Oreochromis niloticus: one gene and its partner. The protein of the gene in region 2 purifies or fractionates together with the protein of the main gene of each other region. This does not show direct contact. Links are inferred from orthologs where the notes say so. Each region holds a gene or a part of one and is shown on either strand. Other genes may lie near its edges. The genes, in order: clasrp and cfap20.

What was found.
Region 1: the proteins of cfap20 (region 2) and clasrp purify together in Homo sapiens (affinity purification with mass spectrometry; 3 studies listed by BioGRID and IntAct, counting the BioPlex papers as one, with this or other methods). This does not show direct contact. The link is inferred for Oreochromis niloticus from reciprocal best matches to the Homo sapiens genes CFAP20 and CLASRP.

Annotation. Positions count from the first base shown.
Region 1 is NC_031979.2:23,405,474-23,421,768, reverse strand, and holds the start of clasrp (CLK4-associating serine/arginine rich protein), read right to left. Parts: upstream 6,863-16,295; 5' UTR 6,710-6,862; intron 5,433-6,709; 5' UTR 5,392-5,432; coding exon 5,293-5,391; intron 4,923-5,292; coding exon 4,825-4,922; intron 4,734-4,824; coding exon 4,632-4,733; intron 2,308-4,631; coding exon 2,228-2,307; intron 2,071-2,227; coding exon 1,986-2,070; intron 1,895-1,985; coding exon 1,758-1,894; intron 1,116-1,757; coding exon 1,019-1,115; intron 1-1,018. Other genes in the region: protein jagged-1b, read right to left, coding at 11,575-12,011, 12,094-12,244, 14,125-14,301, 15,922-15,968. UniProt on the Homo sapiens protein: Probably functions as an alternative splicing regulator. May regulate the mRNA splicing of genes such as CLK1. May act by regulating members of the CLK kinase family.
Region 2 is NC_031985.2:18,317,376-18,333,420, forward strand, and holds cfap20 (cilia- and flagella-associated protein 20), read right to left. Parts: upstream 7,159-16,045; 5' UTR 6,887-7,158; coding exon 6,803-6,886; intron 5,537-6,802; coding exon 5,457-5,536; intron 5,118-5,456; coding exon 5,006-5,117; intron 4,912-5,005; coding exon 4,723-4,911; intron 4,614-4,722; coding exon 4,500-4,613; intron 4,375-4,499; coding exon 4,369-4,374; 3' UTR 3,262-4,368; downstream 1-3,261. Other genes in the region: G-protein coupled receptor 20, read left to right, coding at 15,820-16,005. UniProt on the Homo sapiens protein: Cilium- and flagellum-specific protein that plays a role in axonemal structure organization and motility. Microtubule inner protein (MIP) part of the dynein-decorated doublet microtubules (DMTs) in cilia axoneme, which is required for motile cilia beating.

The DNA of each region.
Region 1 (16,295 bases), on a different chromosome or scaffold from region 2:
ATTTAAACACAAAAGCGCATCAACTTGAAGAAAAGAAACCCAATGTTCCACAGTTTAACAGCACGAGATATATGCGTTCGTGTCGGAGTCACAGCTCAGTGTACTCATTACGGTTTATGTTTTAACGTCAGATGCTCACGTTAAATATGGCCATGGTTTCAAACAATGACAAGAGTGGCTGTACGAGCAATGGCTCAGGCTTAAATTGTTCTTATTGCTCAACTTCAGAAAGTGTTTTTTTTTACCCCCGGGAGAGCAGCTAGTTTAGTTGGGCTGCACAAAAGCCAATTAAGACAATATTAAAAATGAAAAAGCTCATTTTGCACCGTGAACCATACAAAGCTACTCCACTGGAGTCCAAGAATACAAACATCTTGCTCAAAGTTAGTCTTTACTCTACAGAACGTATTTTGAAAGAGATCCTCTAAATAGTCAATTTAAAAGCAAACCAAAAAAACCCTTTTTTTTACTGTGTGTATTTTTACAGTATCTGCTGAACTTAAAACACTGCAGAAGCTTGTAATTAAAATGAATAAAACCCAAATACATCAACTTTGAGGTCAAGGATATTACAGTTAACAAAATTAAACCACAAAACAAACAAACAAACAAAAAAACAACTACATTTGAAAAAATATTTAGATAAATACTGTTTCTGAAAACAGTTTTTTGGTAAAATTTATCACAACTTCCCTAAAGATTCAGACATGTTTAATAAGACTTTGGTCTAAAACACTGAGTCAACTGAACGTTCAAAAAGTTCTCTTCTTATTATAATACCTAAAATGATTTTCCTAAATCTCACCTCTGAGATATGCCCTCCATATAATTATACTTAAAAAGACTAAAAACTTGAAAAAACTGAAAAGAAAAAAAAACTGAATTTTAAAAAAGCTACATTAACTCTACTTTGGTCAAGACACTAATTAAAATTTAAGGAACCACTGGGCGTCGTTTTTCTTCAGAAATTTGCTTTGGGTTCGACTCTGACATCATGATGTGATTAATGACATGTTACCTGACAAAGTCTCCTTCAGCCATTCCATATGGCGTTGCCATTTTGTTCAGGTCCATCACCTGCTCCTGGTTCAGCTCATCAACATCAACCTCCACATCTGAAAGTGCGCGCGCACACGCACACGCACACACACACACACCATTTTTTAACAAGTCGATTTCTTACCCAAGCATTAAACAGGAACACTGTTGATCTGAGATCAGATCGTCGGTTAACAGCATTTAAAACACGATTATCACATAACCAAGAAAAACCTGCAACCTGGCAGAAAAGAGAAAAATAAAGTTGAGCAGTGCCAGCTGAGTGGATCACTTTTATAAAGACAATCTTCTCCAGGTACAGTGTAAGATAACTAGTGTTATTTCTCAATAACTAGCGTTTTACATGCTGTTAAATAGCTTGGTTTAACTGCATTAATTTCTCATTGGGATGTGACATTTCTCCTTCGCTGAAGTCCATTTTCAGGGTTAGTCTGAAGCCACACAGATGTGTATCTGGCCATTTGAAGCCTGCACTGCATTAAATGATGTAACAAATCCAGCTCGCACAGTCAAATTGACAATTTCAGATTTTAGTCTCTTCTGAGAAACGTTCTGTGGAATAACTCTCACATATCCAAGAGACGAAAAGCTGATCAAACACATTCTCTGTGGACAGCTGTGCCTCTAAATGTTTTATTTGGTCATCTCCTGAATTTTACTTCCCTAACACATAGATTACTCCAGTGAAACATGCTCACCGATATCTGGAATGCCTTCGTCATCTTCGGATTCACTGTTTTCTGAATTGTCTTCCTCTTTGTCTGACTGGGGCTCAGGCTCTGCTACAGTGCTGTCTTCATACGTGTAACCAATGGTGGCCTTCTTCTCAGCCAGTCTGCACAACACAAGGAAAGATTTATGAAAACAACTTAAAATACTGGATTTCACAGTGGTGATAAAGAACCACTTTAAAATTTAGTTCATACTTTTTCTTCTCATCCTCATTTGGTTTGGGCAGACCACCATAGAGCTCATCCAGGTAGATCTGGTATAAACACTGCTCCTCAGAGACTGCAGGAGGACAGGAGGGATTTAAAGAGCACAACACAACTGCAAAATATACCCACTGAGAGCAGGTCAACACACTGCCATGGTCACATTAAGAATACAGGTGCAACACTATTAAGCGCATTACATAGTCATGTAGATTTTGTGTGTTAACACTCACTGTTGGCAAAGTCATTCTGTACAAGGCCTCTGTAGCGCTCATAGTTACACTTTCTCTCCTCCATCTCCTGCTCTGGAGTGCTGCATGAGACAAAGAAGATTGTTGGTCACATTAAACACCTCGCTGAATGCTCAAATCTCACCACACTGAACTGGTTTGTGTCCTGACCAAGCATGAAAGATGACTAAAAATACAATCTCACAGATGACCTGTTCAATTACTGAGCAGCAGGTGTTTTATCACAGAGTAAGAACCAGAAGTCTTACTAAAAAGCCACTCTTTGGTTATTACCACAAGTTTCAATGCACCAGCACAAGCAGTCAGTGAAGTAATCAGCATTACAACACATAAAGATCGAAACAGACAGTCGTGCTATAAACAGCATTTTTAAATTAAATTTTATTTTGTTTTTAATTCTTTAATTCTATTTAGTTTTCCATCACTTTACAGAATCACTTGGCATTCTTTAGATTAGTTTTCACTTTATGAAAATGTTTAGTTTTAGTTTAGTTTTTATCATTTTGAATGTTAGTTTTAGTCTTTTAAATTATTATAACGTAATAGGAGGGGTATTTATCAGAGAAAGTTTTAAGAGTAGCCACCCGGTCATCCCAGCAACCATCTTCAATAAAGTCTCCTCATTGGTGGTGTGTTGATAAATGAATCAGGATGTTTACAAGTTATTTAGCAGCAAGTTCTCCACAAACACGAGTCCAAGATTGGGGAGAGGTGACCATCATTTGGCATTCCGCCTGACCAGTCACAAACTGCTCTCCTTCACCCCCATGGGCGGCTATCTGCAACCAACCAAAGGCCTACAGTATCAGGGCCAGATTTGCTATCATGCTGTTGCAGCACGCATGCCTTTTGGGAGTTCCTTTCACAAGGTGTAAAATCTGTTTAAATCAAGTCCACAAGTTGATTTGTTAATGTTTTCAAACACTGTTTATTTTTGGCACTTGTTATTGAAATGGACTGACTGTGCCTGTGTTTAGAAAACAGTGAACCTGTAAAACTAACCACAGCTATGATCAGCATTTGAGGATTGTGCTCACACCTTATTTCACCCCTGTTTAGAGGTGTTCAGTCAATCCTGCAGCTGGCAGCTTCACACCACTGGCCAAAGACATACACATAATGTCAACTGCTCTCGTACTGAGCAGAATTACTGCTACAACATCACATCATCCGCAGGGAAACACTAAAACGTCTCACAACGGCCTAAAAATCAGTTCACTTTCCTATTAGCGGGTCAACAATCCAGCACTTACTGACCACAGGTTTAAAACCCAGGAAATCCGGAGGATCATGAGGACCTATTTTAATAATCTGTATTCATACTGGGAATCAAGGTCATGCAAGCTGTTGCCCTTCTGCTCCACAGGTGGTTTCTGTCCTCCCTGAGCTCACCTTAGGACACCTGCGTTACAGTTTGGACAGATGTACTGCCCTAGTCAAAGCCCCCACCTGCCACTGTCTTAGGAGCGGGTCACCAGAAGCACTAAAGCTGTGCTTGTAGAGTCAAAGTCGAATTTTAAATATGGACAATAAAACATCCATCTAGTTGCAAACTGCTTCCCAATTTAGAGAAATGGAATAAAACATAAATCTACTACTACAGACTACTGCAGCAGGTGTTTTAGCTTTATTATTATAGAAATTATAATATAAGTAATTAAACTAGCCTATTTTGCAGGTGACAAAATGACCTGTTTTGGGTTTTTTTCTTAAAACAAACAAAAAATGGGGTCACCATCTCCTTTGACGACTAAAGTCAGATCAGCTCAACCTCATACAAGAGCAAATGTTTCCACATAATTAAAAACAAACTTTGGTGTATTAAGAGTTTTTTCATGTGCTATGTGCAGAGGTGTTTTTTTTCTGCTCTCAATCTGATCTCCCCATTGGAGCTCAGTCTGGGGGGAGTTATTTTTTTCTCCTGATCTTTCCTCATGTGGTGCATTTTCCATTGTTATACCTCTCTGACCTGTCTTCCCCATGTGATGTTTTTGTGTAATGTATGTATGGTCGGAGGGTAAGATGGCGCCGCCATTGCGCGCAATAGGTCGGCAGCCTTAACAAGAAATTTCCCCTTGTGGGACTAATAAAGGTATATCAAATCAAATCAAATCAAAACAAAACAAAAAATAACAAACTGAAAACATAATCCATACCAAATTATGACTGGTTATTTTTTGAAAGCCCTCTTTGATGAACTATCTTAACTGTTGAATACATAATCTGTACAGCATATGTACAACAATATATGGTGAATGTGTGATGATCTCCTCACAACTGTCCCATGTAGAATCATACAACGAAAAAGTAAATAAATAACCAATAAAATGTTCACACAACGTGGGTTCCATGTTAAAAATGTGGCTTTAAGTACTTTCAGACTTACGATGTGGTGAGCAGAGGTGGCGTGTAGGTGGGGATGTAGTCCAGGTGAGCCCTTACATCAAACCTGTCAATCATGTTGTTGGCATCTCCTTGCCAAGGCATCCTTCAGACAACAGAAAGGAGGCAACATGTGATCATAAGCTCTGTGGTGTGGCTCATCTCTTATTATGTGTCGATTTTGTGATTTTCCTCACATGTTTGCAGGGCTCTCTGCGGCCAGTGCCACAGCTGGATCCAGGTGGATTTTGTAGGCTCGACCGTGAACTTGAAGAAACTGAGCAGGATCTTTTTTCTGTCAAAAGAAAATGAAACCGTAAGAATACAATGCATTGATTAATATCTAAAACTATGAAATGTTACACTGCACAGCACTTTAATTAAACTGAAACCAACAACCATAGAAATTAACTTCTAAAACTTGACACTTTTTTTTTGTAAACAGTAACTGGTTCATTGATGCAATGAGGATAACTGAAAGCTGTGTCAACTATATGCATATGTTTTTAAAAATACCACAAAGTTTGGACCCACATAACTGGGTATAAACTTGCTCAAATCTTTTCTTCTTTTTTAAAAATCCTGCAGTAAGAGTGTTCAGGCCAGACCTGCTCACTCCTACCCGGTGGTACACTGTGGCAATGCAACATGATAAAGTTTCTTACTATCTTCTCATAGTACTCTCGCCGGCGCTCGCCTCGCCGTTTGTAGTCTACCATCATGCCACGGAGCTTGCGCTCATGTTTGCGGGCCTCCTGCCACATGACGGCTCCGCTAGGGGTGGGGGCGCGGCGGGGCACGGCTGCTACTCAGGGCAAACAAGCAAGAATCATGGGAGACAGGGGAAAGTGAGATTAAGGGTGTTAGAGGCAAGAAAAATAAATAAATAAAAATAAATAAATAGTGGACTTTATAAACTGAGCACTTCAAGAGCTCTGAACTCCACATCATGTCACTGACATACAGACAGAAAGTATCTCTTACATATTACAGTTGATATCTCTGATCAGAACCAACTACAGAGTGCAACCAGCACATCTGCAAACACACTATCAACACTCAAGACTACTGAAAATTCCCAGTCTTAAGCTTCACACTAAACACAGGCAATGTTGTAATGCAATAGTTACCTACATTCCTTGTTAAACACTTGACAACCTAAGGCACGCAGTGACGTCTAAATTTCTAGCAAGACAACAGACATATACCGAGATTAAACGGCCATGAATGCACAAAATATTTGTAGCCTGTCTATTCATAAGTAAACTGAGGCATATTGGTCACTTCCTAAAACTGAAGTTGTGACACGTCATGTTAGACATGTGAGGGAAATTCAGTGTAACGAAACCTAAAAGGTATACGTTTGCCATTCATTTGCATCAGTGTATACACTTCCAATGCATTTCTCGGAGTGTTTGACGAAGCTCATATCCGCAGTAATGACAGGATTATATTTTTCTATAGCAGATTCCTCGTCCTCAATTTTGCTAAAACAGGGACATTAATGAAATAACACAAACAAGCAAATACAGCAAATATACTCCGATTTATATTTTTAAAAAATAAATAAAATGAATTTCACTGGAAAAAACAAACACCTAAAATGTGATTTTGGTACATCACAGAAATTACAGTAACTGTGAATCAAGGTGTCACCTCTGCATCTTCTACCACTAAACACACTTTTAATTTACAGCAGTAGCTAAACAGTCTGAAGCTAAAAAGCTAACATAGCTTTCTATCCAGTATTTACGTAGTTAATACGGTTACATTACAACGCTGTTTGTCCTCTAAAACGGTTATTTTAACCCGTCTACGCCCCACTTTCAGCGTTCAGATTCAGCCGGGTGCTAAAAAAAATCCGTGTTATCAAAGTGATGTAGGAGTTTGTTAGCATACACACGGGCCTGACTGCGCATGCAGCCCGGGCCTTTTTAATACCAGTTAGCATCACAACTAGCCTAGCTTAGCTGATCTGCAAAGACGTTGGGAACAGTGGTCAAAAAAGCAGCTACGAAACACTGAAAACTACACATACGGCCGTACAGGGTACTCAGCGCGGTCTAAATTCTCACAGTGTACCTGTTTTACTAATCGCCAACACACACACGGGTTGTTTTCAGTTGGCCAAAAGCGATGTTAGCGGAGTGGAGCGTAACCACACGCCTCCTTCGCATATATATAACAGGCTGCAGTACCGACTCTGGCCTGTGAGGGCGCTGCGGGGAGGCGTGTGTATGTAACATTAATGGGAAGATACTTTTGAAAAAAATTCTCCTTATTATAAAACACAGTAAACAATAATCGCCACTTCTACCTTCACAGCAGATAACTCAGACCAGAGTCAGAGGAGATTCTATGCAAAGCATCACAAATAAAAAAAACATTTTGACAGCTTTCTTCTTCTTCTTTTTTTTTAAATTCACAGATGGTTTTAATACAATGCTCGGTGTCCTTTTGAAAAATTATGAATAGATATGTAGATTGATTAAATTGGGCTTTTTAGATATAGTTTATACTTTGCTATGATAATTAAAAGTTTGAATAAATGTAGTTCTTTTTATTGCTGAAACTGAACAGTACCTTATGCCAACACAAAGATGAGTCTTTCCGAAAAGCCTTCCTTAAACTTAAACAGGATAATATATGTGTTTTATTTTGAAAGAAAGTTTGTGCATATTATTTACATTATCTGTTGGCTTCGTAATGAAAGTTACATAATAACTCAGTATGAAAAACGGCTCAGTGGTTTTTAAGGTTGTGCACCGTATTTGGCCACAAGATGTCCCTGTTAGACAGGAAATATGCACATTTGAAGCTATCACAGTTAAATAGAGACACTTGCAAGGAATTGGCAAACTGTGTGTGAAAACATTTGTGGTAATCCAGCTAAAAATAATTAAATTAATCTTTCTTTCTACAAAGTATTATGCCCCTGTACCAGTCTATGACTACTTTATGTGCACAAGGACATGTATCAATGCTGCTCTAGTGAGAGTCACTCAGCGTTTAAGCTCTAGTTTTTCTTGTATTTGTTGTCAAGCTCTCCTGAATCCCTGTCAGAAATACAAACCCAGGTGTCCTTGGGTCAGTGCATCAGCTGCACATGTGGATGGGCACTAAAATAAATCCTTAAAGGAGATCTCTTATATTCATTTGAACTACCACATTTTTCTGTATAAATCAACTCTTCTGGAGTTGCTGATTTTCATACATACACACACACACACACGCACACATCGCATGCATTAAAAGACCAAGGCATCCACTGCACAGCTGAACTTTACATCAGGTATCTACATTATTACCTTTCCCTGTTATGTGTATTTATTCATTGTGTGTCTGCCTGTGTTTTAAGCTGAGAGCTACCACGCAGCATTTCGTTATGTGACTGCAAAATGATAATAAAGAATCTTTAACTCCTCTTATTTATCTCATGCTGATATTTGTCACAGAGTCAGAAAGGAGCTGAAAGTGTCAGAACTGGATATGATTGTGGATTTTAAGACTGTTTTAAAAGAATGAGAGAATAAATCTTTTGGTCAGTGTGAGTGCTGTTAATGCTTTGCACGTTTGTGTTCACTTGTCTCTGAATATCAGTTGTATTTGCTCCTTTACTTGTTATATCATTTTATGCTTCCCTCTTGGACAGGTCTCTCCAGAAAAAGACATTTTAATCTCAATGAGATTTTTACCTGGATAAATAAATTATATAGAATACGTTTTATTTATAAAAATATAATTTATCTCTCCAATGTGCTGTAATCACACAGCTCCTCAGAAAAGTAACTTGGATCCATCCGTGAGGGATCAGAGTAGAGCTGCTACTCCTCTGCATGGAAAGGACCCAGCTGAGGTGGTTCGGGCACCTGACACGGATGCCTCCTGGGTGAGGTGTTGTGGGCATGTCCGACTGGGAGGAGGCCCCGAGGCAGACCCCGAACACACCAGAGAGATTATATTGCTACAGTTTAAATTACTGTAATGCTTTATTTGCTGGATTATCCAAACGATCAGGATGACTTAGCTTATTCAGAGTCCTTTCATACACAGCAAAATCTGAACATATTATCACAGTACTGAAGTCAAAACAGGATCACTTCTAAATACTTCTGTCATTTCATAAAACTGCTAAAGGTTTGAGCCCCGGGTACATTTCTCAGTGTCTATAATGCTACTAAACCTATAACTGTGCTGAGGGTGTGTGTTTGTGTGTGTCTGTTTTAACTCGTATTTTATTTCTCTGCAAAGTGTGCTTTGAAAATAAGGACAAGCATTTAACACCTTTACACTGAGGGGCAGTGACCCCTTGGCTGAATCTGAAGCTTTCTAATCTGCACGCTGGGCTTTGACATCCTGCTCAGCAGGTGCAGAAAGATGCCTGTACATATGTATGTATATATATACGTCTATGTTTGTGTGTGTAAACTCTATTCTCTACATTTCCTCATGACCAGCATGGTTACAGGAAACCATGTTCATTTCCAGCCCACTGTTGTTTGCACAGGTCAGAGGTCACATTTGTCACATCTATTTGCACATTAAATGTCTATGCTGTGACCTTGGAGCCGCTTACACTTGGCAATTTATCATATTTTAGTAACACACAGCATGCTTTACTGTAATGATCTTTTATATATATATATATATATATATTTTAAATTTTCAATAACACCAGTGCAGCGTAAAGAAACAAACAAATAAACAGATACACACGAGAGAGAAAAAAAGGCCACATATATGGGAAGAGTTCCAGAAAGGAAGGGAAAAAAAAGAATAGGTTAAATATGGCATGTCATGGGTCCAAAAAGGACTGGATCTGGAAGTACCCAAGTGTACCCCAGATTTAGACAACTGCACTTGAGTACAGTTTACAGAAAAATTGTACTGTAATGATTTAGGACAACATAGACTGTCTGATATCTGCAAAAATGGTTACAGGTAACTTCAGTAATTGTAGATCCATTAAAACCAGAAACTTTAAGTAAATATTTGCCAGTGTTTCCAGCATTTTAAATGCTATTGACCAGCAGTTTGCACAAACCCGCTGCTCTTGAAACTTACTGTTATTATTATTCCTTTTTTTTTTGCAGCCACACATTTGTTTTTTAGGAAAGCTGGGGTCAGTCAGGTGGTCTCCCATATTTTCCTGGCACCGTCAGCATCATTGTTTGTCAACGAGTGTCAGGGAAAGAAAAGGAAGATAGTGAAAGTCACTGTGTATATGGTGACTTACTGACCTAGTCATTGTGCCTGTGCTCCAACATGAAATATCCTCTCATGGGACTCTGTCAGTGATTTATGAACAGAAAGCTTGGTTGTGACATCTGAAAAATGCATACAGGGAGACAAGGAACTAGAAGAACTGATAACTCTTAAACAAATGTAAGTAATTTAAGACTAATGTTGCTATTCCAAAGCTTAAAAATAAGCTTGGATGCTTTTTGTTACATATACGGTTATGGTCAAAAGTATCTCTGTATCTTCAAAGGACTGTGCATTCATGATATATTGTTGCTTTGGCCGTATTAACAAATGGAGCAGATCTACATATTATTAGAAAGTGGTATTAGAGGAGACACAATCCTTTTTGGGTTGTGTCAGGGAGGGCTTCTGGTGCAAAATATCAACTAAATCAAACAGACAGTGACCACTGGTGAATAACAGAACAACTGAAAATAGCTTTTTATTCAAGGATTTAGAAACTCTTTAGTGGGTAGTAGTGATTATTGAGTACAAATGAGAGTCCTGAGAAGACTGGGGAGTTATTATCGACTAGAGCAGCTTTACATTATTCACAGTCCTAAATAATTTATCTTGTCATCTTTAGCTCCTCCCCCTTTATACCAGCTTTCATCTGATTAGCTGCCCCTCAGAAACAGAAGAGCTGAACAGCAGTTGACCATGTTAGAGTTATCTGCTCTTCCTCTCATTATTCAGACCTAAGGAAAAACTGTCTGGAAGGGAGGGTTTAGAGCTGTCTGAAGCCTAAGCTTTCGGCTCACAGGGATTATTTTGGACAACTAAACCCTGGAGTTTAATAAAAGGTATAAAATCGAGTTGGTAAATGCACTTTTATTACATTCCACATGTGCTTGCTGCTCCAAATGGAAAGTATAAAGGGAAAAACAGGGGACAGTAATACAGTGATACTTCCAGAATGAATCACAGTACAAAAAGGGCATCAATATGTACAATACTATTTATGTACAAAAACAACTATGTTACACACAAGTATGATAAAAACCATACATCTCGGGCAAACTGCAGTATTACAGAGACAAAACAGGCATCAGTGTATACTCTTAAAAATGTTCTCAGGAGGCTTGCAAGCCTTTGGTTCAGGAGGATGCACTTTCACTCTAAGCAGAGTGAAATGTTTCCCCTCTCACAAAAACTAATTATATCCAGTCTTTCGTTCACTCTCACACACACTTACACACAGCCAGACACAAACAAAAAATGTTAAATAGGCATCTGTTCACTGATCCTTTCTGTCAGAGTTCAGTGGAGGTTTGGACAACAGTCAGATGGCAACACCGAACAGGAAATGTATCGGGACTCAAATGGAGGAAGATCCTCTGTTTACTCTTGACAGTTTCACAGGCACTCAAAGGCAAGTCTGTAAGTCTTTAGGTTTTCAGTTTACTGTTGAGTCTTTCAGCTCAACTTTATGCCTGTGCTGCTTTTTCATGGCCATTAAGAAGGCCCAAAGACGATGGCGACGACGCTCTTTCGACCCCTCTGCTTAGCAGCCTTTGTTCCTCTGGTGTCTGCGCACAGCCATCTTTGTTTATAAAGGTCAGAGGGTCACCTTTAATTTTCATATCTGCAACATCGACACAGTGCAAGTAACTGGAGACGGGGTCCTGTGAGCAAAAGAGTGCTAAGGACGCAAAGTAAATTTAAAAAACAGCTCCTCAGGGCTTTAAAAGGTCAGCATGGGGTCAGACCTCCAGCTCTTGGTTATCTGCATAGTGGAGGCGGTTCAACTTCTCCCTCTCTTGGTTTGAAATGTCCAGTTTGGCAGCATGTGCTGGCTTTAGTGCTGGGGAAGGGTGTGAGGGGGCCGGGGAGGGCGGCAGGGTCAGTTCAATCTCCTCGTAGCAACGTGAGACGGGGGCGGGAGCTGGAGGGTTTGTGAGAGGGGCGGCAGCGGGCAGCTGGGGCACCGGACGGTCCACGTTTCTGATGAGGTTGACAAACTCCCTCTGGTTGTTGATGCCTTCTTCCTGCGGGACAGCCTGCTGCTTTTTCCGCTTCCGATGGAGGTGGGACAGGATGAAGGCGCAGGCGGCACAGCCACAGACCGTCACCAGAGCTAAGACTCCCACCAGGATCATGTAGAAGCTCAGGCCCCCGTGTGCTGAGTCAGACATGGCGCCTTCGGGTGTTGAGACGTGAAAGATCAGACCAGGGTTCATCAAGATTTTATACGTTTAAAGATGCACAAGTATTTCTCTCACCTTGACAGTGGTGACCAATGCAGGGATTTTTGAGGCTCATGCACTCGTCACCATAGTAACCGTCAGGACAGATGCACGTGTTCCTGCCATCTATGATGTGACACTGCACGCCTTGCTGACAGGGGTTGGGATTGCACAAGTCCAACACGACCTGAAATATTGGAAAAAACAAAACAATAAGACAGTTAAGGGAGACATCCACTTCTCTCTAACCTCCAGTGAAATTTCTGATGTTTCTGATTGGATCTTTAAAAGATCTCTTCTTACTTCACTTTCAATGCTAAAACTCAAATGTTTATTTATAGCCAATGAATTTTTTTTAAGTTTTAGCATTTTTAAACTTTTTGGTGTAAAATTTCCTCCTAATAGTATGAGTTCTCCCGTAGCTCAGCAGGGATTGAAAAACAAAAATAAACAAACAAAAATGAATTTGAAAGTTGAAAGACTAAAGACACCGGATATATAAACCTGAATATTTTAGATTTGTTATTTTACCTAATTATTTGAGATTTTCAAGGATCACATTAAAGTTAACAAATGTAGGCATTAAACTAGCAATCTGGAGCCAAGAGGTTTTTATAATATTATAAAAAAAAAAAAAAGTTTATTTACTGTTTGGCTTTTCTTAAAAAGTTTTAGTTTTACTTCTGTGGACTTTTTAATGTACTTCACTTCTGATAGGGCTAAAATGCTAGAATCATGTTTATTCCTGGTATAAATAGTAACATCTGATGTGCTGTCTATAGTTTTCAATCCACTTTTTTATTCTGTATTTTATTTTTAATTATAAGCTTGTTCTACCTTTGTTCATGATATCATCACATGTTTTATTTATACTCAGGTCCGTGTCCATGTATTACTTAAAAAAATGATTTTCTGCTTTTGTTTTGTAAAATATCTCCATTCATAAGAAAAAGAAAAAGAAACAACATTGAGTTCTATGCAACATAAATGTTGGCCAATCAGAAGGCTACAGGCGATAAAACCACACAGTCTGATGTCAAAACAGAGATAAAAGCAGATAACTTTCTAAATCTAAATCTTTATTTCAGTTGTTGTATGTGTGGACATAAGACTAAAATCCATAGACTAAAGATACGTTTACCAGAATACCAGCGTATGTGTGGACAGCGCCTCGCCCCAACCAAATGAACTTGAGATTAGCTGCATAATACATTTGTTACTGTGCTTTTCATTTACCTTAGCAGCACATTCAACACTGTAAATATTCAGGTTTCTCTTTCTGGAACAGGTTTAAATTCATATTTTACCATTGTGTAACATGAACTTCTGATAAAGACTAAATTTCTAAAATCCCCATTTTTTAAATCTATCATATCGATTTTTCTTTCAATCTTTTTTGGATTACTCTTTTGAAATATGTTGTTATATGATGTTATGCGCGCTCTCTGTGCGACCACACATCTATTATCTTCCTCTGATCTTCTGCTTTCACCTCTGATTTGTTTCTCACTCTGATTGGCTGCAGAAGGCTCACTGGCATGCATATACAGCTAGAAAAGGTGGAGCACGGAGGTTGCTGGTTGGCATCTCAGTACCTCGTCTCCTGATCCTCGTCAGCAGCACTGGTGATGTCGTTCTGCTGCTTTTGATTATGGCTTGAGTTTGGAGTTACGGGCAGTCGTGTTTTCGAGTTTGGTTCTGTTATTTTAGGTTATTAATATTAGTTTAGGGGAAAATGGAATCTGATGGCTCCTTGTATGGTTGTTTCATGATCTTCTTCCTCTTTTGTTTATTTTTGCCAGGTTTTCCATTTTCCTCATTCATGTTTATTCTTTGTAAGTAATCATATTTACATTATTAAAAGTATATTGAATGGCAGCAGTTTTCTGGGCCAGATTATGTTAGGTTCCCTTGAGTCTTTGATTCAGAGACTGTAACATCTAATATTACCTTGTATGCCTGTTTCATCTTTTTTACTAGAAATTATCTTCACACATTAGTTAAACTAAAAAAAATACCCATTTAGTTTTAATTATTAAAAAAATAAATTAAATTACGTTCTCCGACCTCACAGAAGTTTCCAGAATATCCAGTGGGACAGTTGCAGGTGACTGTTCTTTCATCCTTCTCCTCACACTGCCCTCCGTGCAGGCAGGGGGCGCTATCACACAGACGTTGATGATTTTGGCAGTGTTTTCCAGAGAATCCAGGTGGACACACACATCTGGATCCTGACACCTGATCCTGTATGGGTCAGAATATACAGTTGTGGTCAGATATTTACAGGCACTCATCACTGGCATGACTGTCATGGTAAATTTGTGCTTTTAATGACTTCTTTGAACTGTTCTTTTTCCAGGCTGGAATGATTGTACAGCATCTATCTTTAATGACTTTAAAAACAGGAATTGGGTTTGAATTTAATTTTGGGTTTTCTCTGATACACTCATGCTCAACTATATGCACACAGCCCCATTAATATTTGGTTAATTTCACTTAGCAAATTGTACCTTAACCAGATCCTTTTGGTAATCATCAACAATTTGACCATCATTTCATCTAAACTGGTTGGTCTCCTGGCACAGACCTGGGGTTTAGGAATGGGAAGGCCATTCCAGGAGCTTAATGTCAGCCTGCTTTATCCAGTCCAAAACCAATTTTGATGCGTGTTTGGCATAATTGTCCTGTTGGTAGACCCAACTGTGTCCAACTTTCAACCATCTAGCTGTTGATCTGAGGCGAAGTTAAAGAATTCACAGGTAGTTCTTCCTCTTCATTATTTCATCCACTTTGTCCAACATACCAGTACCACTTGCAGCAGAAGAGCCCCAAAGCATGATGCTACCACCGCCATTCTTCACAGCTGGTAGAGTGTTCTTAGATTTAAAAGACTTCACACCTCAAGAACCTATCTTCTGGGATTGTGGCCAGTCACACGGTTCAACCTTTATCTGACCATAAAACTTTTTAAAAGAAAGCATTTGGTTTGTGTTGATTTTGGAGCAGGGGCTTATTTCTTGGTTGGCACCCTCTTAGTCCATGGTAATGTAAAACTCACTTCACAATGGACTCCTTAGAGCTTCACTAACTTCCGTGGACATTCCCATTGTCACGAGTATTTGTCAATCCAGTGAGTGCTTTTTCTTTTTATAGTTGTAGTTAATCATGATCAGTAACAGAAGTTAACAAACCTTAACTTTCAGTACCACTTATTAAAATATTTAATAGAGTGTATGTATACATCTTAGCTCTTGTGGATCAGAGAAAGTGCAAAATAAATTCAAACTGTTGTACAATCATTGAACCCAGGAAAAGAACAGTTCAAAAAAACCTTAAAAGCCCCAAATTACCATGACAGTCATGCCCATGATGAGTGTATCTAAGCATCTGACCACAACTGTGTGTAATTTATATGTGTGACACGAAGACATGAAGTGTGGGAAAAGAGCACTGGGGAGGGTTACAGAGGATCTGCGACAGGCAGAATAATATTTAAGAAAACACTGAAGTTAACTTACAGCACAACAGCTTCAAAACCTTTTACTGAATAATGTCTGGCATACAGGGGTGCCCCCAGAATTTTTTCATAGGGGTGGCCATTTGGGGGGCACTTAAAATATTGGGGTGGAACATGGTGTGGTGGGGTGGTCCCCCTCTCCCCTTTGTGGCTCCCCTGCTGATGGGCTTAAAAGCTCATATTGAATATTTTATCCTATATCAATATTTTGTTTGAAATACTGAAAAATGATTAAGATAATGTGAATGCTGGGTAGTGAAAAACTTAAGAGGAGAACAACGAAGCAGGTGCAGAGACTGTAGGCAAATTAGACAGACAGAGGGAGGCAGGACAGCCAGGAGTCTTACCTCACAACGTCCACCATTCAAACACAAACCCTGACAGCTGCTGTTCCCTGCGGGGAAATGAGGAACGCCACATTAATTTCTCACACAAACACAGAATATCTATGATATCTATGAATCTGTAAACAAACATGTTCAAACTGAAGACAGAAGAGACTAAAGTTAGCACAAAGCAACAGGAAAGAACAGCCGAAAGAGACCTTTACATAGTGTTTGTTGCATTAACAGTGCACTGCAGTGATACGCTGTGAAGGTTGATTGATGAAAGTGGAGCTGGAGTGAAATGATTTCCAGCCCACAGGGAGTCAGACCTGCTGTTTAACGGCTCTTCATGGTTTACTATCTGTTGCAGGATTATCACTTCTCTCTTTACTTAT
Region 2 (16,045 bases):
TATTTTGTGATTAAACTAATGATTCAAGTGTTTGATTTGCCAGATTGAACCAATGAATGTTTTTTTTGCACTTGAGATGCATGCAGTTAATTGAAGCAATAGATTTCAATGGATGCATTATTTTAAGGTGTATAAATCATGTAAAAAAACAAAAACAAATTTGTGCTGAGATTTCCATGTTCTGTAATCTGCGTGTTGACATTGCTGTTAAAAGGGAAAACTGAAGCTGCATTAATTTAAAGAAGGCAGTTGAAACGGCCTGATCGCGCTGGATGATTTGCAGTATTTGTTGAGTCAATTTTTTTTTTTTTTTTTTTTTTTTTTTAAATTTGGATATTGTCAGAACATGACACTACTGCCAGTGTGGATAACATACCATAAATTGATGTAGGAAGATGTTCTTATTTTATCAGTCTTCAGAGATAAGTGACAGCCTTTTGTTTAAAAATGGTTGCATTCTTTCCTTTTTGATCATAATTCAGGGAAAAACTGTCCTGGAGCACCAGTTATAGAACTGAGTGTTGGCATTCCTCACTGAATACTAAGTGCCTGCTGTAAAAAGGAGAAAATGCTTGCATTTAAAATGAAGAAAAATGCTGTTAGTTTTGATGCCAAATACTTGTGATATAATCCAAAATGTAGGAAAGGTAGTACTTTAATCTATGTAGCAAGTGGGCTTCTTTGTATGATGTGGTGATTTGTGCGGGAGCCTAAGATTAACTGCACTAAGCTCAAACTGAAATATTTTACCAAATCTCAGTTTTGAAGCTATAGTCTTTGTTTTCCTGAAAACACAAAAGTATAGCATCATTCTGATCACTTTATTAGTATTTCATTGCACAAATGACACTTTTTTAAGCTTTTTGTCTGACCCACTTTCATCTGCAAATGTGACCCAGTTCTGAATTTTGTCAGACGTGAGATACCGTTACTGTTTGACACCAGAGTTAACATCTGAGTTTTTTGTTTGTTTTTTTTCCTCCCCTAAAAACATTTTTCTACATTTACAAACCATGTATCTAAATAACACGAGCTTGCTAAAGAAAAACAGAAAATGCGTATTTCAGTACAATCGATAGCAAGAGGTGTCCAAAGCAGTCCAGAGGTGTTTCTTCAATATTAGTTTTTTGTTTTGTTTGTTTGTTTGTTTGTTTGTTTGATGCAATATGTAAAAATGAATATATTGCTAGTTTTGCTCATGTGTACAGAAATCCAAACTGAAGAAAAATATTATCTTGGAAATGCAGCTGTCACTGAAAATATTTGTGGTGTTTGATTTTTAAAAAAAAAAAAAAAAAAAAATCATTTATATCTGATGAATGGACTTGTCTGTTTTTCATTAACTCTTTCCCCCATTTGGTGACCTCCCCTGAGTCTTGACACCACAGTATATATCAATAAAGATGTGGTTTGTTGGCTATTTGAATAGCTTCCAGGTTTTTCTAAGAGTAACTACATAGGCAAAGACCACCCTCACAAACTTCTGATGCAAACCCATTTTGTTCTATAAGCAGGCCTGAAATATGGCAGAAATGAAAAGGGCTTCTAAGCCAACTTCTAGTAGGCTTTCAGGTGGTAAAGAGTTAAACAAGTAGTGTGCCTTTTTAGGTTTTTGACAAATAAGAGGATTATCCTAAATCCTGTACTTAATGTTATAGCGCATCAAAAGCAGTTATGGTAATCATTCTTTATAAACTACTAAAAGCAAGCAGCATTATTAGCAGAGACCCCGTGATGATGTCTTTTGATCCATCCATCCATTCTATCTACTCAAAACTGAGGACACATTAGTACCTAAAACACTTTATTGTATAGAAAGCAACTCTGGTTTTTTTCCAACACTGGGATGGAAATTTTCCTAATTTGTCTATACTAATTACATTTTGGACCAAATCGCCTCATCACATTGACCTTGCTGACAGAGAAGCTCTACTCCTGCAAGAAATAAATGGACAACTGTTAGACTAATACACATTTTGACTGAGAGGTGCCATGAATACATCACGTGACTGTAATACCTTATTAGCATTTACGTGTGTGGAGGGGCGTACTTTTTTTTTTTTTTTTTTGGAAGCTTTATCACATTTTAGACATACAGTTAAGTAAAACAGGGATCATATAAAAGATGACATTGAAGTATTACAATGAGGAGCAATGAAAGTGACGGGGACAATGAGATAAAAGTGAGTACTAAAATAAATTAAGGAGAACATAAAAGTTTGGAAGAGCCAAAATCAAGTTAGCAGTTTCAAATGGTTACAGATGTTAACAGTCTTGAGAGCCTTAGTGTTTTTTGATGAGGAGATTGTCCTTATATATTGTGCGAGTTCCATTTTTAATACAAGAAGTTCAGGTTTTCTGCCGAGGACTTTGCTTTTGTGTATGTGAAATTTTGCCAAAAATAAAACCATATTTATAAAGAAGAAAGCATCATTGTCCTTGTTTTTAAAATTATAATAGCCAAAGATAACATCCTTGTAGTATAGTTGCAAATTAGGGAGAACAGAGTCAGTAATAAACTTGTGGAAGTCCTTCCAGAATTTACATGTAAATTTACATGACCAAAACAAATGAGTAACAATTTACATTTATTTCAGCCATAAATTTGGACAAATATTGTTTGGTGGGGTAAAACTTATGAATTAATTTGAACGAAATCTCTTTAACTTTGTTCGTTAAAAGAAACCTTTGTGGTAAAGTCCAAACTTTTTTCCATTCAATATCTGTTACAAAATTGGCCCAATAAAATATGGCTGATGGAGGGACGTACTAACCATGGACTTCTGGTTCTGAACATGCAGGTAGAGTTTAAACTCAGCTGGAAGCTCATGCTCAGAGTACAGTCTGTTGGAAAATACACCCTCTACACCCGCTGCTTAACTTTTTGTCCCATATTTGAAGAGGTTTGCTGCCGATGCTGTATAAGAGACAAAACACGCACTGGGAGGTGTTTTTAAACATCCTTGAGCTCACTCCACAGACATTAAGCACGACTTTGAGACCCTGCAAGCAGCGTTCGCTGGTTGCTATTACACGTGAGTCGTTTGTTTACGGGTTTTCTTTTCCCTTATACTAGTTCCGGGTGAAAAAAAACCCGTCTCGCTGAAGATGCTTAATTTAAATAAAAATCTGAGGAAATAATTATTGTGTGAATCTTTCTCAAAAAAAAAAAAAAAAATCTTCATTCTATTTTGTGTAGCCAGGGAATGGAACCGATCCATAAACACAACTCGGTTGTGGTGGTAACAGAAAACCTGAAGATTTTTTTTTTCCCAAAAAACTTTATTACAACCTGGTAATAAACAGCACAAGTAATAAATACACCTGAATAAAACACAGAAGAAACAAAATGAAGCAGATCAAGCAGAAAAAGCCTGCCTAAAACAAACAGGCTAGAGCTTGATAATGTTAACATAAAGGCTTTTATCTAAACACACATTCTGTTTTTATAGATATTTATTTTGTAAAGAAACCACTGGTAGGCATTTATTTAATACAAAATCTAAAATTATAATTATTAATATTGTAAATTAACAGGTGTTTTTATGGGATTGGGCTAGAAGTAGTTAGCCTAATCAAAATAAATGTCACAATCATCACAGCATCTAAACATATTTCTATAATAGAGAGCCAAATCTGAGAAACCTTTTAGCAAATATAAAACTACTGACATGTAAAATAACAGGATTAAAATCAGATAGAAGCAAGTGTCAGGATCTTATTTGTTTAAAGGACCAGAGGTAAAGATCATATTTTGTTCCTGTCAAGTGTTACAGCTTTAATAGCAACAACGATTTATTGAAACTAAGTCTTTCTGCTGATATTCATACCTCTAGTACAAGAAAAAAATAAAGGGATTCTGCATTGTGTCAGAAGGAAATATAGACAAGGGCATAAGGTGGTTAACATTCATAAATACTATTTAGGATGCACAGGATGGTGGCAAACTGAAAAAACCCCCCAGAATAATGGACATGGTGGACTTTTAAAAAATACCTGTAGCCAGAGGACTTAACATCATTTAGCCTGAGTGATTTAAATAAATCAACAAACCATGGAATTTAATTGTATTTATGGGCAAATTTTAATTTTGAACAGTAAATCTCTTTCTTTTTGGTAAAGACTTACAAAATAAGCAGTGGGCCTGTAAGCTGTTTGCAGTTAACATTGTATGAGCCAGAAGTTCCACCGCAACTGACAACACACAGACAACTACTGCGTGTATTTGCAATGTGGACCATTTTATTAAAACTGTGCAGAGACTCACGAAAAAGTCAAAACTAAATGAACACTGAATGTCTATAATGCTGTCACAACTAAAACTCCAAATCACATCGGGGGGGGGGGGGCTGCACACCGCAAGAAGCTCTACTGCTGCAAGACACAAACAGACAAGTGTTAGACTTCTACACAACATTTTTACAGACTGAGAGCTGAAATGGTAACTTTTTGACTGTAATACTGTATTAGCGTTCACGTATATGGAGAGATGTACTCACCTTGGCCTTCTGATTCTGGACAGGCAGGTAGAGTTTAAACTCAGCTGGAAGCTCATCCTCAGAGTACAGTCTGTCGGAGAAATACACCCTCCTTATCCGACAGTTAGCATGAATCTGAGGGGGGAAACAGAGCAGATGTTAAAAAGAGAAAAAGGATTATTGTGTCAAATTGTTACTATAGAGAAACAGGAAAGACTCAGAGGTTCCTCATGTGTGCACTAACCTGTACACGTAGCGTCTCTGTGTAATTGGTTCCATAAGCCCTCCTGGTGAAGTCGGACAGGTTGAACTGAATCTGGTTCCAGCCGTCATCGAGCCTCATGGGCATGGTGCAGATGAAGGGCTTCACCCTCGTCGTGCTCTGATAATTACTCGCTCGAAACCGCCGGCGAACATTTTTATCATCCAGAACCTGAGAGGGAGATATGAGACACACGTAGCACCAGGTCTATGGTAGATTCCCAGACTGTATGTTAGCCAATCACAGAGCATTTAAATGTCTCTACCTGGACCTCAAAGGTGAAGTATTTCTTGAGGTTTTTAATGATCATCACCAAAAAGGGGAGTTTGATCCCCAGGGTCTTCTTGGGGTCTGCGGGGCATGTTATGTAGGTGGTGCTGTAGGGAGGACAGAGTTGATGAAGCTAGGATGGGCGAGACTTAAATACCGGATTTATCTCAGTTATTTAACAAGACAAAAATATTAAAGAAAGTAAATCTAATTACTATGCCTGGGATCTACATGATACATTAATGTACACATACTTCAAACAGAACACAAAGACATATTATACACAAAGTGAAGACAATCAATGTACACAAGAGCTTGAAAAAAAGAATATCCTGTTAAATATGCCAGGACTGCAATAGTGTATATAATTATATAATAATGTATATTATTATAATTTTCACTTTATATCCTGTGCATTTGATTAATAAATAAACAGACAAACTCACCTGACATTTGTTCCCTCAATCTCCAGCACATTTGAATGTATGTCATTGTCCGAGACTCTCTTTATGTGACCGTTTCTCACCTGTGAAAACCCAGAAATAGATTTGTTCCCTTATTTTCAATGGAGAAATTAGGACGTTTCCCAGAGCCAGAGTGCTGTATGGCGTACCAACTGTAAAACCCCCTGAATCAGATGTGGGATATCTAAACAAAACTAATGAATGAAGAAGGCATGTCTCATATCTAAAGTCAGATTTGTCAACCAGGGATTGTGACTGCCCAATCCGCAAAGCACTGAACCTATTACTTGCTTTTCAAGCTTTGAGTTTTTCTATCCAACTGTCGCCAAGTCCTTGCACATAGGGGGTCATCTCACTGTTGGAGTTTTCTCTGTATTACTGTAGGTATCTTACATTATAATATAAAGCATCTCGAGTCAACTGTTGTCGTGATTTGGTGCTATATAAAATTGAATTGAAATGAATTACAGAGGTTTGGAGACAACACTGGGTGGTGCTGCCCGACCTCCGGGTTAGAGATCAGTTGTTGCTTCAGAGGAGTTCAAGTATCTCTGGATCTTGCTTATGGGCAAGGAGAGACGGGAGTAGGAGACTGACAGATGGAGTGGTGTGGCGTGTGCAATGATGCAGACCGTGAAGAGAGAGCTTAGCATTAACGGAAACTGTCAATTTAGCAGTCGCTCAAAAGAATAGAATCGTGGATACAAGTAGCAAAAATATTCCCTCAGAGATAGGGTGAGGAGCTCAGACACGCTGGAGAGATTATGTCTCTTGGGTGAGCTTAGGAACGCCACCGTGTACCCCCGGACAAGGTGATGGGAAATGCGAAGTCTGAGTCTATCTACTTAGAGCGCTTTCTTGCAACCTGGACTTGGGTACGCGGCAGAAAATTAATGAATGGATGGATATCTCATATCTCAGATCATTTGTCACCACTGCATAGATGGCCTTGCAGAGAGGACTGCAAAGCTCATACTTGAATATCTGACCAGCAACAGCTCCTGTTTAGCACATTAGCCTGTAAAACCGTGTAAATGGCACCAATGACTCAATCAAGCGACTGTAACTTCAATTACTGATGTGTGACTAGGTTAGCAACTTAGCAGCACTGCCTCCGTGGCTACCCTGTATCATGTTGCTTTTACAAGTAATCAACAAGAACTGCGGGTAGTGAATTTAAAGTGGATCTAGAAAACGTTCACAGCCATAAAACAGTGCGAAGTTTAACATCCTAAGAGGGGGGTGAGTGCACATGATGCTAGCCAGTTTTAGCCCCGCTCGCTAAGCCAACATTTAGCTCCCTGCTTCCGTTCTGAGCCGCTGCTTACCTTTTTGTCCCATATCTGGAGAGGTTTGCTGCCGATACTATATAAAATAGACAAAAAACCGCTCTGGAATGTGTTCTTAAACATTTTCCTTGGGCTCAGCAGACGGTCAATGTGCACGTAGTGTAACCGTTTGTTTACAGGTTTAATTTCCGCCTCCAACTTTTCTGGTTCCGTGTGCTAGAATATAAACCGTTCCGCTAACAGAAACTACCACGTTGTCACTCAGAATAAAAAAGAGAAATCGGTTTCACTGAGTGGTCGAATATTCCCACACGGCGTCAATCAGAAAGAAGGCAGCGGATGTCTCGTTTTTATTTTGGTGTTGCTGGGGAACGAAAATCATCTGACGTTGTTCATGCCGGTTAATAAATGCTGACGCTTCTCGGTCGCCGTGGTAACAGTGTAAGCGTAAAACACAAGTGTTTAACATAATATCGTCTAGAAGTCGCCGAAATAACCAAAGCACCTTTCACGTTTGATGATTCTTGTTTCAGTTACTGAATGCATGATATAATAAAAACTCCCTAATCATAAACTAATTCAAAATGATATCTTGAGCTGCCCGATTCTCACCGCCTGCAGCCAGATCCATATGCGCGTCTCCAAAGAATTTTAGGACTTTAGGACCTTTAAAAGTACAGGTGCACTTCTCTTTAGTTTGGAGAGGGGAGCTTTCACACATAGCTTCAGTAACTAAACAGGGCTGCACAGCTCTGATCCTCCATTACAGGTGTCAGGATATTATCTGTACAGTTCCTGTAGAGGGATGATGCAGCATTACACAGCATTATAAACAAGGCACCCTAGATCTGCTGGAGTTTTCTATGGTCTGTAGAGGTGGGAGGATCCATCCAAATATTGATAGTATCAATACCAACTAAATATTGGCATCAGAATGACACTAGCACAATGGGATTGATACTTTGCTTTAATCATCTTAAGTTCAGTATGTAGCCCACCTAATTATGAAAGTATACCTCTATGCACTATGAAAAATGTATGAACCTTTTTGTCATGTCTTTCTCTTAAATCTGTTTTATTTATAGCCTGTAGCACATTGAAACAACAGAAGTTGACCCAAAGTGCTTTAATGACAGGTTCCAGGTCTAAGACCCCCCCCCAAAACCCCTGTTTCAAAATACACGAAAAGTTGAAAGGTGAATTTTGCTGTTTTAACTCATCACTCATCACGTCATTAAAATGTGTTCAGGAATTGCAAATTCAAAGTGATTTATCTCATAAATCGCGACACACTGCGCTCTCCTAAATAAACTGGCTTTATGGGTTGAAATCAGCAATACTGACCTTGTATTTACTTGGTATCGCATCTATTCCTAAATTTGCTGTGTCACACAGCAATAATGGTCTGAAACCCTGAGTTTTCTTATGAAGGGCTCAAAATTGCAATTCTGATGCTTTTTTTGCAAGGTTTTTTTGGGAAGTTGTGGATATGTTGTGAGTATAGGTCAGGGGTCTGCAACCTTTTACACCCAAAGAGCCATTTGGACCCGGTTTCCACGCAAAAGAAAACACTGGGAGCCGCAAATACTTTTTGACATCTAAAATGAAGATAACACTGTATATATTGTTTTCTTATCTTTATGCTTTGTGTGAATGGTAAATGGTAAATGGACTGGTTCTTATATAGCGCTTTTCTACTCATCTGAGCACTCAAAGCGCTTTACACAACTTGTGCATTCACCCATTCACACCCATTCGCACAAACACATCTTTCTAAGTGCTTCATAGCTAACATTCACACACATTCATACTCCGACGGATGCATCGGAGAGCAATTTGGGGTTAGTATCTTGCCCAAGGATATTTGGCATATAGACTAGGGGAAGCCAGGAATCGAACCACCAACCTTCCGATCAGTGGATGACCTGCTCTACCACCTGAGCAACTAAGGTGTGCTGCTTATGAAATCCATGAAGTGCTACAGAGAAAATTAAATTATATTTATGTAATCAACACATTTTGAACTCTTAAAGAAATATAACAAAAGGAAAGACACCCAGCTGAACTAAAATGATCCATGTAGCAAACAAAAACTGTTGTGAGCCGCCACCCTTATATCGCCTTTGCGCTGTTGGAGCCTTGACCTGACTCTTAAAAAATAATTGGAAAAAAGCACTATGCTGCTGAAAATGAAAAATAGATATTTGCAAAATTCTGCCTAAATATGTATTTTACCTGGTTAATGCGTGCGGCGGGACGTGGTTTGCAGCGCCGCTGCAGGGGAGGCGGACGCACCTGAGCGACACCCGCAATCACGCCTCGCTGCCTTTACGTCTGCGTTATCTATGCTGTTGTGTTGTTGGTGGTGTATGTCGGACTGTGAGCTGAAAAGCTACAGCCGGCTGTATGCGTACAGCAACCGTGTGTGAAAAGTGGTCAATAAAGAGGTTCTCAAAAGCATGCTCATGGAAACATCGTCGGGTCTGCCGTGATTTGTTTACAATGGGACTTCTGCTCCTGAACCTCTGCGCACAGAGTCCGCAAATCGGGGCTATACGAAGTCAGTTTACGCAGGACTGTCATCTGTCAGGCGTGAACGGTGTTTGTCTTTAACATAGTTCACGGTGGAGAACAGCTGCTGACATAATGTGGATCCGAAGATCCATAATTGGCCTACCTGGGGTTGAAAGTCTCGATAAATGCACGGCGTTTCGGCGGGTATACCGGCTTCCGCGAGTGTGACTCTTATTTTGAGCGATGAAAAAATAATAGAATATAATTTTATTTTTACATTTCAATATCACAATAATCTTCCAACTTAGAACTACGAGTTAAAAAGAACTAACATAAATAAAATACACTTCAGCTAAATACTTCTAATGTATTTGCCCAAACCACACGGAGCCGCAGTATAAGGACTAAAGAGCCGCATGCGGCTCCGGAGCCGCAGGTTGCCGACCCCTGGTATAGGTAAAGGTAAGGATTATTCCTAAGGAGGGAAATGTATTATTGTAGGAAGAAGCTAATGGGCACTTTCTTTTCTTTTCTTTCTGAATGTTTTTTTCTTTGGCTCATCAGAATTTACTCAGGTATAGTACAAGTCACAGTGACCCAGATGCTTAATAATATTATCTGAGGTCTTACCTGTCCATAGAGACCAAGATTATTCATGTTGATCTGATAATAGTGAAGCTACTCTTTATTTATTTCGGGTATTTCCTTACACTGACAGAAAAGTGGGTCGACATTGAAGTTGACATCAAGGCGAACATCATACTTAAGGATTTAATGACTTTCTAAACTTAATACTGAAGTAATGATTCTAAATGATGTCTTAACTATCATTGAGTCCTGCAGTGGGTATCAGGACATTATCAATCCATAATTTAACATATCATTGAACCATGACACTGCCCTTGAATCCTACCTTAAAGAGCATTCATCTGGCAGCCATATCCTCTGCTTTTTCTGCTTAGACTAATACATTAGCCTCGCTGACCTGAAAAGGCAGATAGAGTCTAGTCCAGCCCCCATCCTATCTTATTTAACTCCAGCTTCTAGAAAATGAAATCAACCTCAACTGTTAATTTCTAATCTTGTCCATCCTGGTCAACCCCAATAAAAATCTTAACATCTTCAACTCTGCCACCTCCACCTTGGCCTCTTCTGCCACTGTCTCCAAACCATACATTAAAGCAGGTCTCATTACAACCATATAAACCTTCCTTTTCACTGCTGTCGCCATCCTTCAGTTACAAAACACCCCTGAATCTTATTTTCAGCCTGCCTGCACTCTCTTCTTCACTTCTCTCATGCACTGTCTGTTGGCTCTCTACCACCTGCTAAAATCTGTAACAGGGCTATTTCAGTCTGAACAGAAGACCTACTGAAAGCTAAAAAAAAATCCCTCTCAGCCTAACAAAATATGTTTGTTTTACGCATGAGGTTTTAGCTCCTCTCTGCTTGTTAAATGCCTGCAGACTTGCCCTTGTCTGCAAGCCAAGATAATTCCTCTGACATTTCCAATTTTGCTGAAATTACACAGCATACTTTACAGCACCTATGTGCTGAAACTCCGTTTAAGTTGTAAAACTGCTGGAGTGCCCCTTAATTCCCTAATACATCCACCCCAAACGTTTCTAGAAATAGATTTCCTATGCACAACTTAATTTAAGCACTCTTTCCACCCTCTAAATTCCGCCGAAGTGTCAAGCGCGACATCCTTCCTCCGTCTCCAACACTTTAAACATCTGGCAAAGATTTCAAATATTTAAACAAGCCAAGAAACATTCAATCAAACATTAACCAGGCACTTTGTATAATGACATCACCAACGGCGCAGCATAAATCAAAAGCCTCCTTTTGGCTTTTTTCACAGGTATTACTGCCGCAGGACTTTATTTGACATTTTGATGTTAGCCACACACAACCGCAAACATATTCAATGGGACAGATGTTACAGCTGTTTATCCTCCTGTGAGTTTATTAGGTGACGCTTCTTTGTGGTGAAAGAAATGTAAAGTGATCCCTTCTCTACTCTTTATCTATCTTTCATTATGAAGGTGTCCTCTCCCATTTTTATAAGTGTGTGTTGGTTCACGGGTTCACAGGCTGGCAGCTTCATAAAAACATCTACAGAAACAGTTTATGCTGCGTTGTCTGCTTTATACTTTTATTTTGCTCTTCACTTCTCTAATTGAATCATGTATTTACACAGAGACAAACGTATATTTTTTCTCTCTAACGCTGTCCGAGTGGGACCACCCTGGAGACAGCTTTAAATAAACGATTTTGAAATCACACTTGAATGAAACTGCCTTTTGTTTTTGTCCCACAGAGACAGGGCAGTCTTCCCTCCAGCTCTTTCTAATTTTTCCTCTTCCTTTTAGCCTGCCAGCCACTTACTCTTTTCTTGTTATTCCCAATCCAACTGTTATCCATCAGCGTACATGTTCCTCTTCTGCTTTTCGACACCTTGGACGCTCAAGCCTTGTCTTTGCATTGCCTTTCCAAATCCCTGTTTCAGATGAAATATATTAGAAGATGTCCTATTTGACAAGAGGCCGAGAAAGAAAAGAAGCTCAAACTAAAGAGGTGGAAAATGAGACAAAGCAGAAACTGTAAGGTGGGAGAAGACGGGGAATGAGAAGAAAGAAAATGACAGAGTTATTTGATACATTTTTGATACATCTTCATTACATTTTGTGTTATATGGGATATGAAAGAAATGAGTTAAAGAGGAGGTCCGCCTGTTGAACTCTACTTTCCATTGGAGGACTCTCTCCGCCCCAGAGCTTCACATCTGACTCTCTGGGCCTATTCTTTCCTTACCTTTTAGCAAATTACTGAAAGACCAAAGGATGTACGAAATGAAGAGGAGATAAAAGTATGAAATTAAAAGCAACTGAGGATCTCTTTATTTATATCATCGGACAACAAGGACTTTTGCACAAGTCTACTGCATGAGGATTTCTTTTCCACACTTTTTCTCTTCTCCAGGTACGTTTAATCCATTCAGTCATCATTATTTGATTCTGATTTTCTTTTTGTTTTTTCTGGTTGTGTTTTTTTCATTTTCTGAGCAGCAGTTTTAAGGTTCTTTGTGTACATTTGTCCTCCTGGAGATATCCACATCATTTTCACCCTACAGTACTTTCCCTCTGGTACATGCATGTTACAGGTTTTTTTCATTGGAAATTGTACACAAAAAGGAGTTTTCATTCTTTTAAGAGTGCAAAATGTAAAGTTTAAAAAGCTTGAATTTAACTCGTGAGGGTTTAGCTCAAAGGAAGACCTGATAGATTTAGATATGATTTTATATGATCTAGTCATTTCATTTAAAAGTGAACCTATGAAGCAAATGCACGTCTGCATCTGTAAAGTCTGCAGGTGCTGGGCGGCAGTGATTAACACAATGTTAAAAAACATTTGCAGGCTTCAGAGTCATTCACTGGTTTATCTTTAATATAATAATTTTATCACATATTTTACCATAACCATAAAGTTTCAAAGAAGATAGCTGCTTGGAGAGTTTTTTCCTTTTTTAAAATCCAGGCTGACAGCCATGTTTTATCTAACTGTCTTATGATGATGAAGAGTGGAAAGACCTCTCTCAGCGGCACATGTTATCCAATGGGAGCTCATCCGTCTCTGGTTTTTATAAGGAAAGACACTTTTGGCCAAAATGAGAGGATCTGCTGAGTAAAATATGGCATTATTTAAGACATTTATCTTTTATAAAATTACTTTTTTTAAAGTAAAGGAGGACATTTTTAATGTATGTTTTTTCTGATGTCGAATAGTCAGGAGTAAATAAACATTTTTTGTGAGATTTAATTTGGGGCTTTTAGAAACGCATTAACAGGGACAGAAAGTGTGAGGGAGAAGATGAAAGATGGGCAGACTCAAATCCAGGCTGCTTCTTAAAGGACTTGAGTTGCTTGTATGTGATGTGCAAGCTCTGCCAGGGGAGCTCCACAGATTTGCTGAAAGAAAAAAAAAATCATTTTAGCTCCCATGATACATCAGATGAAACAAGCTGAAACTAACTTTTAAGCCAACTTGGCTAAAGGTCCTGTAAGGGCTCTGGATGAACTCAGAACAACTACAGAGATTGTACAACAACAAGTTTATTTCCATAGAAAATGAGTGTGATAAGTTTCAAAGCTCTGGGAAAAGTTAGTACATTCAAGTTAAGGGTGAAACAGTTTTGGCCAACTAATGAATAGCTTGTTTGGCCAGTTCTTCTTAAGCAGAACATAACAAATTCACTAATGTCGTAACGCCTTATTTATCACACTGTTTTATCTGTTCCCGCCTGCCTTTGAAATATCAACACTATTTTTGGCCAGTCTTTTAACTTCTTTAAGCCCCTTGAAAGTGAACACAGTCCAGCCGTTTTTTAAACAGGACATGTTGCACTGATCACGTTTATCTGGTTAAGACAACCGTCTACATCATGTTCAACACAACACATGTCAGTGGTGTGTTAAATAGCCGCGCACGCTGGCAGGGTTCATCTTAATGCTGTGCTCCGTCTTTGAAGTAACACACACGGTCGTGTACTTAACTTTGTTGAGAGTGTCACATCCTTTTAGGGAGGAGATGAAGATGGATACAGTTGCCTCTACGATACAAGAGCACATTGTTTATAGGATCGGGATTTCCAAAGTCTCTCTGTCTGGATTCATTTCTGCTGATGTTGGCCATGGTTTCATCCCTAGAAGTCACAGCTATCTCCTTTAGTTTTTAGTGTGCGTATGTGTGTGTCTTTGTGTGTGTGTGAGTTTGGAGAACTAAGCTGTTTGAAACTATTTACCATACAGTATCCAAGGCTGAGTCCAGGATAAAAGGTTAGGGCATCTGTCTTTAAATTACTGCCGGGAGGCTGTAATGAAGACGCCCTGATATTACTGAACAATCTGAGGGAAAAAAAAAGGTTAAAAAAAAAGTAGATAGAATGAGTCTGGATATAATCCTAAAAAGCTTTTACCCTTTAGAAAAGAAAAGAATCTGAAAGATTTGTTTTCCTCACTACATTAACAAAGTAATAAATGATTAAAAATGCCTTAAGTGCTACAGTATTTTTTAAGGTATCCATCAAGAAATAGTACTTTACTTCTGCAACTGCCTTAATTCTTTGTGGCATGGATTTAGCAAGGTACTAAAAACATTATTCACAGGTTTTGGTCCACATTGACATGATAGCATCACACGGTTGCTGCAGATTTGTCAGCTGCACATCATTGTGAATCTCCTGTTCCACCACATCTCAAAGGCGGTCTATTGGATTGAGATCCAGTAATTGTGGGGGACACCTGAGTACAGTGAACTCACTGTCATGTTCAAGAAACCAGTTTGAAATGATTTGACCTTTGTGGCCTGGTTTGTTATCCTGCTAGAAGTAGCCATCAGACAATGTGTACTCTGTGGTCATAATTGGACATGGTCAGCAACAATAAACTATGATCTTTGAGTACTAAGGGGCCAAAAGTGTGCCAGGAAAATTTGTTCCACACCATTACATCATCACCACTACCACCTTTGATACAAAGCAGGAAGGATGGATCCATTCTTTCATGTTGTTTACACCAATTTCTGACCTTACCAGCAGAAACTGAGACTAATCAGACCAGACAGCATTGTACAATTTTGGTGAGAGGAGTAGCAATCATTATGGACTTCTGCTGCTGTAGTCAATCTGTTTCAAGCTTCAGCATGTTATGCATCCAAAAAAGCTCTTCTGTATGCCTTGACTTGTTCTTTTTGAGTATTTTTGAGATACTGTCTTCCTATCAGCCCAAAGTAGTCTGGTCAGTTTCCTCTGGCCTCTGACATCAGCAAGACATTATCCTTTTTAGAACTGCCACTCACTGGATATTTTCTCGTCTTTTGGATCATTCTAAATGGTTGCATGGGAAAATCCCAGTAGATCAGCAGTTTCTGGAATACTCAGACTACTTCATCTGGCACCAATAGTCATACCACGTCCAGTCATTCAAATCACTTTTCTTCCCTATTCTGATGCTCAGCTTCACCTGAACAGGTTGTCCAAATGCAGAGAGTTGCTGCCACGTGATTAGCTGATTAAATATATTAATGTTGATGAACGGCTGAGCAGCTGTGCCTAATGAAATGTCCAGGTGACCGTATTTCTCTTTATTTAGTCCACTTGCTTCATTATTATTGTGGGTTTTTTAACTGAAAATAACAACAAGCAGTTGTTTTATTCATCAGCTATACATTAACAGTCTGGTAACACAATCCCAGTTCCAATAACTAGCTTTCTGAAGGATTTTGCATTGTTACCATGGAAATAATACGTTGAAAGTGTGAAAGCAGATGTTATGCTGGACTTCCAGTTGAGATTACTACTATAGTAAAGGAATTATTCCTCTAAAGTTGACATAACATAATATAGACATTGTAATTTGTTTTTATTTGTATTTATTGATTTAAGTAAAACATTGTAAATCTTTTTTTTCTTTTTTTTTTCTTTTACTTTACTTCACTCCCTGATTCTCACCAGCCTACCTGTCATTCATCTTTTCCAACCAATGGAGAGCCTTCTCACCAACATCAGCTCCAACTCCACTGCTGAGCCTCTCCTGTCACTTTTCAACTCACACCAAACTAACTGCAACACCTGGGACCAGGAATGGGGGACCGCATACCTGCACAGGTTAGCCCACCTGGACATGCAGCTGTATCAAGATTTCTACACCGTCTGGGTTTTTCTGATGGTAAGATCAAATGCTGAATAAATCTTATGTTACACTCCAG